2 linked regions of the Oryctolagus cuniculus genome follow. The protein of the gene in region 1 purifies or fractionates together with the protein of each later gene. This does not show direct contact. Links are inferred from orthologs where the notes say so. Each region holds a gene or a part of one and is shown in the gene's direction. Other genes may lie near its edges.

Region 1 (4,138 bases):
GCCTCGATGAGGGAGGTGTCTAATAGCTACTGAAAATGGTTTTTCTTTGTTGCAACATGAGAAAACACAAGCTTAAATAGAATATGGGTTGCATAATGGAGGCCTAGAGGTGCAAGGGAAACTTTCAAACTGGCTGCGGAGTTGGGAACAATGAGAACGCTTCCCTTTTGCTTGGATCTTGGCGGCTCATGCTTTTGTCCCCTCCTTGGGTGTGGGGAGTGGTGGTAATGATGTGATCACAGTTAAATCGTGGTCACGTTCTGCCAAGGTGCCCTGAGGCACCTCGTGCCTGGCATCTCTCGGTCTCCCACAAGGTCCAGTGAAAAGCACAGTGACACGGCACAGCAGGTGTGGCCTGGAAATTGTCCCTTCTGACAGTTGCTTCTGAGTCCATCTGACAAAGTGACGCTGGCCAGTGAGCAGGGCGTCTCCCTGGCCAGCCGGGTTCTCACAGGTGCTGCTCCCCGAGGCATCTGCTTCTGGTGCAGTGGTCACCTGGCGGCTGCGCCACACCTGTGACTGCTGTGCCCACCCCCAGGGCCCTGCACCTGGTCCCCACTGGCCAGGTTTACCGCATGGTGTGGCGCACCTTGCCTGCAGCTGAACGCCCTGCTGGGGTCCGTGAGCACCGTTGTTCTGATCGGGTTGTTAATTCCAACACATGCCCTTGCTGCAGGCTTGAACTGAAGTTGAAAAAGGAGAACTGGGGTCCCTGGAGTGCTGGGGGCTCTCGGCAGGTGCAGTTCCACCAAGGCTTCGGTGACCTGGCCATCCTCAAGCCCAGTAACAAAGTGCTACAGGTCAGCATCGGACCCGGGCTGCCCAAGAACTCCCGTAAGTGTCCCAGGGCCCTGCCGGCGGCAGTGCTGCTCCACACCCCGCTCTTGTGACCAAATGCTGACAGTACATGCCCAGCTCTGGGAGGCTGCCTCAGGATAGCTGCTGCTTCCGGGAGGGGGCGTTCCAGGTCCGAGAAATATTGAGGGAAACGGGCAGCTGACGACTTTATGAATAGCGTGCCTGGCATTACAAACTTACATTTATAATGCACAGAACAGCATCATCACATGGGCTGTGGATTCGTATGCCCTACAGATAGCCCATCAATGAAGAGGATGCCACATATAAAACAGGCTTTGATCAAACCCCATCTGCAGAGCTATGCATTGGTGTGCTCTCGGATATGTTGTGCAGTGCCGATTACTATTGTCATATCTGTATGTGTATGGACCCACTCGGGAAGCGTTGGTGTGTGTATATTGATCGGCACTTAATCGGATAGCACATTTCAGTGACGTTTTTGAAGATGCTTTTAAATCAAAGGTGGGGGTTAGAGGGAAACAAGTAGGGTCCCAGGAAAAGGCAACATTATTGCCAGCAGACCTGCAGCAGCAGAGGGAGAGAAGGGTTGAGCTAAGGATGCAGACAGGAGGCCGGCACACTCAGTACCCAGCCCCTCTGTCCTTGGCATTCCTGTCTCCTGCCTTGCGCCTCCCATTGGCCACACCCAGCTGGCATGCAGAGGCCTAGCCATCCACGGGGCTCAGACCGCAGGGCAGAGTGGGGCACACTAAGGTGCATGGGGTGTTCAGTAGGCCCAAAGCAGAACATGGACTCACAGGGTAGTTGATTACACCCTCCTGGGTGGGGAGGGGTGGTCTCAGTACCACAGGGAGCCCTGTGCCTGGTGCTGGGCCTCACAGCCGGCTCACCCAGCATCCCCTCCCAGGACCGCAGGGCTGTTCCCTTGCTTGATGCCGTATGTGCTCGGTCACTTCTCACCTTCCTGTGTTCTTCAGTTCTTCTGTTTGCAAGAAATTCCCTCTGCATCCCTCTTGCAGCTGCTTATCCTGCCCTCCTTCATGGCCCACTTGAGACCTTTTTACTGTTCTCAGATATGTCTCCTGGCCCTGCCGTCCCAGCCCTAACTCCAGCCCGCAGGGGTGTTGCCTGGTTCCTGCACGTCTGTGGGGAGCATGCAGATCTGCTCCCCCTTCGTGGCCTCTGTGCCCGGTGGGCAAACTGTACACACGAGCTCGTGTGTGAAGGGCTCCATTCACAGGCAGGTGTGCAGTCAGTGCGGGATTGTGCTGGGTGCCAGTGTCCGCTGTACAGAGCCCAGGTGCTGAGCTAACACTGGGCACTTCTGTGTGTGCAGTGTCTACGGTCGCTCTGTCTTTGAAAAGCCGCCATCTCCAGTAATGCAGAACTGTGCCTCTGTGGACACGTGCTCCCGCCTCTCCCACCCCGGGGCTCCCTGCACTGTACTTCCATGGACTATCCCGTCCCCTCTGTACCCGTCCCCTTCCCTAAAGTTTTCCATGGGAACCCTAAGTCGCGCTGACTTTCACTTTGTCTTGCTTGTTTATTTCAGGTCCTACCAGAAGGAACACCATCCAAAACAGAGGTTATTCCAGTGGGACTCAGAACGCCAACTACCCCATGAGAGCTGCCCCGCTTCCCCCAGGTGAGCCACCTGAGCACCGTGACTGACGCCACTAAATCTGGACCCGGGCGTTGTCCATTATGAATGGGAAGAAGCCCATTAGCACGGAAATGCAGCCACGGACCGATGCAGCGCCAGGTGTCCTACCGACACGCTGGCCCTACTCGTGACCCCCAAACTTAGGAGAAGTGACGGTGAGACTGAGCCGTCACTGCGCTAACGGTCTGGGTTTCATCACCCGTCTGTATGACTCCCTTAGGAAGACCGTCCTGCATCCGTATCCACAAAAGGAACCCTTCTTCCGTGACAACTGAATGCTGTCAGTTTTAGGATGTGGGATGCTGCCTTCATGGAAATGGAGTCGGTTGGGTCTAACCCCACCCCCACTAGCCAGCTCCAGACAGATCCCTCTGCGGTATTTTTCAACTAGTTAACAGCTTAAAGAGTGGGCAGAAAAATTTATTCTTAGTTAGAATCCGGAAGATCTGTTCTCAAGTCAAGGCTGGTGTTGTGGCGCAGTGGGTTAAGCCACAGCTTGCAATGCCAGAATCCTGTCTCGAGTGCCAGTGGGAGTCCTGGCTGTTCTGCTTCCAATGCATCTTCCTTCTAATGTGCTTGCAAAGGCAGTGGATAATGGTCCAAGTGCTTGGCCCCTGCCACCGATGTGGGAGACGTGGACGGAGCTCCTGGCTCCAGTCTGGCCGAAACCTCCTGGCTGTTGTAGCTTTTTAGGGGAGTGAACCAGTGGATAGAAGATTCTCTCTCCCTCTCTCCCTCTCTCCCTCTCTCCCTCTCTCCCTCTCTCCCTCTCTCCCTCTCTCCCTCTCTCCCTCTCTCCCTCTCTCCCTCTCTCCCTCTCTCCCTCTCTCCCTCTCTCCCTCTCTCCCTCTCTCCCTTTCTCCCTTTCTCTCTTTCTTTGTTGTTCTGCCTTTCAAATAAATTAGTAAATCCCTAAAAGAATTTTAAAATTGTTGCAAGAGGGGTTTGGGGGGCCTCTATATTTTCATATTTCTCATTCTTCTGAAAATAAAAAGATAACTTGCAGATCAGTAAACAACAAGCCAGAATAAATTGAAGATTTTGTGTCCCTCCACATCTGTTTCATGTTTCAAGAGCACTTTGGAGATTGACATGTTTTCCCATCATTCCACAAAATTCAATTCACAAAAAGCTGTTCCCAGAGTGGTGGCTGTTTAGTCAATTTAGGGTTCCAGGTCCAAGAGGGCGGTTTTGGGGAGCTCCCGTCTCAGATCATCCCTGCGTACACCTGTGTCCAGGACAGGCAGTGAAAGCATCTCTTGTGTCTCCCGCCCCGGAAGCCTCCTGGCCATGCTCACGTAGAAGCCAGTGCCCAGGCCGGCGCAGCGGCTCACTAGGCTAATCCTCCGCCTAGTGGTGCCAGCACACCGGGTTCTAGTCCCGGTCGGGGCGCCGGATTCTATCCCAGTTGCTCTTCTTCCAGGCCAGCTCTCTGCTGTGGCCAGGGAGTGCAGTGGAGGATGCACAAGTCCTTGGGCCCTGCACCCCATGGGAGACCAGGAGAAGTACCTGGCTCCTGCCATTGGATCAGCACGATGCGCCGGCCGCAGCGAACCAGCCATGGTGGCCATTGGAGGGTGAACCAACGGCAAAAAGGAAGACCTTTCTCTCTGTCTCTCTCTCTCTCACTGTCCACTCTGCCTGTCAAAAAAA
Region 2 (4,863 bases), on another chromosome or scaffold:
CAATTGCCTGCCACAAATAGTTTGCAAGATGACAACATGAGAACAAAATGTGCTTTCAAATGCATCAAAAGGGAGCCGGGCAGTTTTGAAAGGGTGAAATGTTTTCATGACTTCTCATTGATTGTATTCAGCAGATATTTTGATTATCTTCCAAGAGACAGGCAGCCTCTTCCTACTTGTTCAAGGTTTGCTTCCTTTTGGTAAACAGAAATTTCCCAAGGCTGGGGTTCCTGCAAACGTAATCCAGGCCCCTTTCCCATTCAACTCTCCATTTTGAAAAACCAACCTCTCGTAGAAACACTGAAAGCTCACTGCTATACAGCCTTACGTAAATACTTTTTCTTTTCAATTGTTGTTTCCCCAAATATTTAACCAGCGTAAAAGGCTGACGAGGCTATGGTGAATTTGTGCACACAGCCCTAGCCTCCTGGGAGATTTAATCTGCTAGATCAGAGGTCACCTTTTTTTTTTTTTTTTTTTTTTTTTTTTTTTTTTTCCTGTAAAGTGTCAGATAGTAACCGTCTTGGACTTTGCAGGCAGCTACTCAAGCCTTCGGTCCTTAGTGAAGGCAGCGCAGACAATCCATATACAAACGGACCACGACCGCCTGCTAACGAATCTTTATAAGGGCCGCTGCATCTAAATCTCACCATATTTTCACGTGCTACAAAATACTGTTGGTTTCTCTTCAGCCATTAAAAAAGCGTAGGAAACTTCTTAAAAAGCCGTACACACTCAGGCAATAGTGGGCCTGAGGACGTCAAAGCCTTTCTGTGCGACTCTGTGAGTGCTCCGCACTCCCTGTGCGTTCCCGTGCAGGGAGCGCGCCCATTTCCCGGATTCGCACGGGACGCTAAGCCCCAAGCCGTCAGGAGCACGCGTCCTCCTCTGGCCCGCTCCGGGAGGCCAGAGTCCCACGCAGACCCACTCTGCAACGACCCCCAGGCCCCGCGAGGCGGTGCAGCGGGGAAAGGCCGGCACTCACCTGGCTCCGGCTCGCGTCTCCGGCGGCAGCGCTGCAGAGGCGACGGACAAGTGCGCGCCTGGCGCTGACCCGCCACTCCCCACCGCCTTCCCCCGCGCTCCGCCCAGGTAGGAAGCCGGCCAGGTAGGTGCGGCCCCCGAAGGCGCCCCTGCCCACCCGGGTCCGACGCAGCGGCCAGCTGCAGTCCGCGACGGGGCGGGACTGAGGCGGGGCTCCGGGGAGCGTGGCCTCGCGCGCGCTCCCGCAAGGCTCCGGCCCCCTTCCGTCGCGGGTGCGCGCGGCCAGACCTGCCCTGGCGCGTGTCTGCAGCGCCCTCGCCCGGTCGCTGCTGGTCCCGCCGCCGTGCGCGCCGCCCCGCGCTCCGAGCCGCGGCGAAGCTGCCACCCTGGGAGCCAATTAGCGCGCGGCGAGCCGGCGGCCACTTCCTCGTCGGCCCGGCGCGCGCCCGGGAGGGCTCCGGCCGCGGGCGGGGCGGGGCGGGCCGGGGCGGAGCGCTGGGCCCGGCCGCTCTGACCGCGTCCGTTCCTCGCGCAGCCGAGTCTGGGCGCAGGTCCTTGGAGGCGCTGGGTCTGCCAATCACACAAAAAGAAACTTTGGGGGCGTCCGCAGTGCAGGCTGACTGGGCGACCGGTTGGCTTTTCTCGTTGGGGTCTTTGGGAGTCACCGCTCCAGGAAGCGAGATGTCGAAGCCGCCTCCCAAACCAGTCAAACCAGGTAAGGCAGGCGCTCGCCGGGTCCTCCGGCCGCCTCGGTGCCCTGCGCTTCCTGTGCCACTTGGCAAGGCGGACCGGGCGCGTTCCGGCCCCGAGCCTCGCTTTCCCAGTCAGACTCCCCACCGCCGGGGTCCTTAGCTTTGCTGGATCACTTTTGGAGAGCAAAAGGATTTCGAGGATCTTAAAAAAAGAAAAAAAAAAAAACTTGTTAAAGAGGCGTCGCGCTGGGGTTTGCAACGTTGTCATGCGCTCCACCTTCTCGGGAGTGCGATGGCCAAGTCCCGTCGAAGCTGTCCAGGGAGCCAGGGCCGTCGATCGCCTTAGAAAACGGAAAACAGTGTGGCTGGGAAGGCTCCTTCGCCACTTCCTCTTTCTCGGTGCGTGTCACTGTCAAACTCCAGTTCTTGACCGGCCGGGGCGAACGGGAAGTGCGCGGCCCGCAGGGTGGGGTGATGAGCCGGCCGCCTGCGGGGCTCGGGAGCCTGGCGACGCTGGGTGGGGACCCCGGGGTCTGCGGTGGGGCGTCCGTGGGTCCCTCCGGGCTGCGGCACGGTCACCTCGGCCGTGGCTTTTCGCAGGTGCCGCGGTGGCGCGCAACCGCGTCCTCCGCCTCGGCCTCTCCAGGGGCTTGGGCGTGACGCTCGCCAACTCCTCCAAGCAGTTTTCTTGGCCGATTGTTCTTGTTCGTTTGTGACTCTCAAAGTATTCTCTGCGTTAGAGAGAAGCGAGAGCGTTTAAAAGGGGCTGACATTTCAATTCAGCACCGTTAACACACTCTTAGGGACAGCTGAGTGTGTATTAAGGGAAAGGTAGGAAAAGGTAGATAAATGACCCGAAAGACTCTCAATATTTTTTTCTTCCAGTCTTGTAATTTCGGAATAGCAAAGGCTGAAACTTAATCTGTTTACGTCAGGTTTTGAAGTGACTTCAGTAGCAAGAGGTAGTCGCGTGGGTTCATTATATTCCCTTGACCTTCCTAAATGTTGGGTAAGCTCTACAGCTTTAGTGATTGTGAGGTTGTCTTTCTTTTGAGATCATTCAGTGGCGGGCTCAGGTTCCTGTACTTCAGAACAGTCACCCTTGTGCAATAGTCAGTCCATGAAGGTTTCCAGTTTGGTCAGCTGGGTGTGAAGGCAGCTGCTGAGTCTGGCCACGCGGGGAGCAAAAGATGGGGCAAAGCTCTGCTTTGCTTGTGGAATCTGACGAGGAATTTGCATGTGAAGTATGTATGCACGAGATGTCAGCTTTCTAAACCCAGATGTAAATCAGGACCTCTAGTGTCCAACAAAGCAGAGTCGGTTTTTGATTGCTAAGCAGAGTGCTTTAAAGAGTGTTCTGAGAAGCAGTTCATCTCTCCAGACGTAAGTGATGCCTGTGTTGCATCTGGAGGGCAGCGATAGGAGTGTGTGTGTGTGTGTGTGTGTGCTGCCGCTGAGTGTGTGCTTGCTTGTGTATTCATGCATGCTTGGGTGTGGCTTACGGAATCATCCTGTAACTAGTTGAGTGCTCACTCCTGGGAACCATTTTTGTTGTATGATTTGAAAGGCAGATTGATACAGAGGGAGAAACTGAAAGAGAGGGAGAAAGGGAGAGAGGGAGGGGGAAAGAGAGAGAGAGAGAGAGATCGATTTTCCATTCTCTGGTTCACTCTTCAAATGGTCTCAACAAGCAGGGATGGGCCAGACAGAACCTAAGAACCAGGAACTCCATCCTGATCTCTTCACGTGGGTAGCAGGGGACCAGGTACTTGGGCCGCCTTCCACTGCTTTCCCAGGAGTATTAACAGGGAGCTGGGTTGGAAGTGGAGCAGTGGTGCTGCGGTACTCAGATAGAGGATCCCTGTATTGCAAGTATGGCTTAACCCACTGAACCACAATGCCTACCCCTCCCTTCCTCCTGAGTAACTCAGAAAGCACATAGTTAAATATGACTGCTGTTGTAGAGAACTTTGACTTCACAGTAAGTTGTCAATGAGATCCAAACACAAATACAGACATTATAGAAATCAGTTTTTTTTTTTTTTTGGGGGGGGGTGGCGCTGTGCTATAGTGGGTAAAGCCTCTGCCTGCAACGCTTGAACCCCATATGCACACTGATTCAAGTCCTGGCTGCTCCACTTCTGATCCAGCTCCCTGCTAATGCTCCTGGGAAAGCAGCGGAGGATGTTCCAAGTGGTTGACTCCCTGTGCTCAAGTGGGAGACCTGGATGAAGCTCCTGGCTCCTGGCTTCCTGCCTGGCCCAGCCCTGGCTGTTGCAGCCATTTAGGGTATGAACCAGCAGATGGAAGATTTCTCTGTGTCTCTCCTTGTCTCTTTCAGTAACTCTGCCTTTCAAATAAATAAATGAAAACAACCTTAAAAAATCAGTTTTTTTGCATTATAATTTACGCTGAGAAATATTAGTGTCAGTCAGACTTGAAATTTTGTATTGGCTTAATTGCAAACAGAAGTGTCCCAACTTTTACGTGTATTAATTCACTTATTTTTCCCAACAACCATGTGAGATCTGCATTGTTTCTGTACACATTGCACAGGTGACAAGATGAAGACAAGACACAGAAGTGTTGATTGACTTGCTGAAAGTCAAATTCTGGGCAAAGAGGTAGCCAGTAGGATTAGAACTCAGAGTGAATTTAAACACTATGTTATTTTGCTTTAGGCATGGTGTACCATTCACATGAGTGGTCATGTGTTTGTTGGAGCTGGTGGGCAGGAAGTGAAAAGGAAGGGACAACTGGTCTTCAGTCAGACTTCCTTGTGACACTGCAGAGAAAGGTCACCCCCTGGATGGTAGCAGCAAGGAGAATGGCTCTGAACTTGAGCTAAGGATGGACCAAAGGGTATTGGATAAGCTTTGGACCCTTGAATCATCTTATTCTAAGAAGGCTTGATACCAATCCATTACATTTGGAACCCTGATGTCTGACCTTGGCTATTTCTTTCAAATGGCGTATTGATTTTGGTGGTGGAAGTAAAGCAACATAAATATTTCATGTGTCTTGTGAAAATAAATTCCTGTGACTTTGAAGAAGCAAATGTCAGTGTTTTGAGTTCTTTCGTTAGTCGTGGTAAAAACATCATAAAACTTCAAAGGCATCGCACATATGCTGCTTTAGTAACACTTTGGGGAGGAAAAAGTCTTCCTCTAAAATAACTTGAACTTCT

What was found. The genes of interacting proteins can lie anywhere in the genome.
Region 2: the proteins of MYO1E (region 1) and OSTF1 purify together in Homo sapiens (co-immunoprecipitation; 3 studies listed by BioGRID and IntAct, counting the BioPlex papers as one, with this or other methods). This does not show direct contact. The link is inferred for Oryctolagus cuniculus from reciprocal best matches to the Homo sapiens genes MYO1E and OSTF1.

What each region holds. Positions count from the first base shown.
Region 1 is NC_091443.1:82,023,580-82,027,717, reverse strand, and holds part of MYO1E (unconventional myosin-Ie), read left to right. Parts: intron 1-676; coding exon 677-834; intron 835-2,374; coding exon 2,375-2,467; intron 2,468-4,138. UniProt on the Homo sapiens protein: Actin-based motor molecule with ATPase activity. Unconventional myosins serve in intracellular movements. Their highly divergent tails bind to membranous compartments, which are then moved relative to actin filaments.
Region 2 is NC_091432.1:155,170,684-155,175,546, reverse strand, and holds the start of OSTF1 (osteoclast-stimulating factor 1), read left to right. Parts: upstream 1-1,942; coding exon 1,943-2,075; intron 2,076-4,863. Other genes in the region: NMRK1 (nicotinamide riboside kinase 1), read right to left, coding at 986-1,944.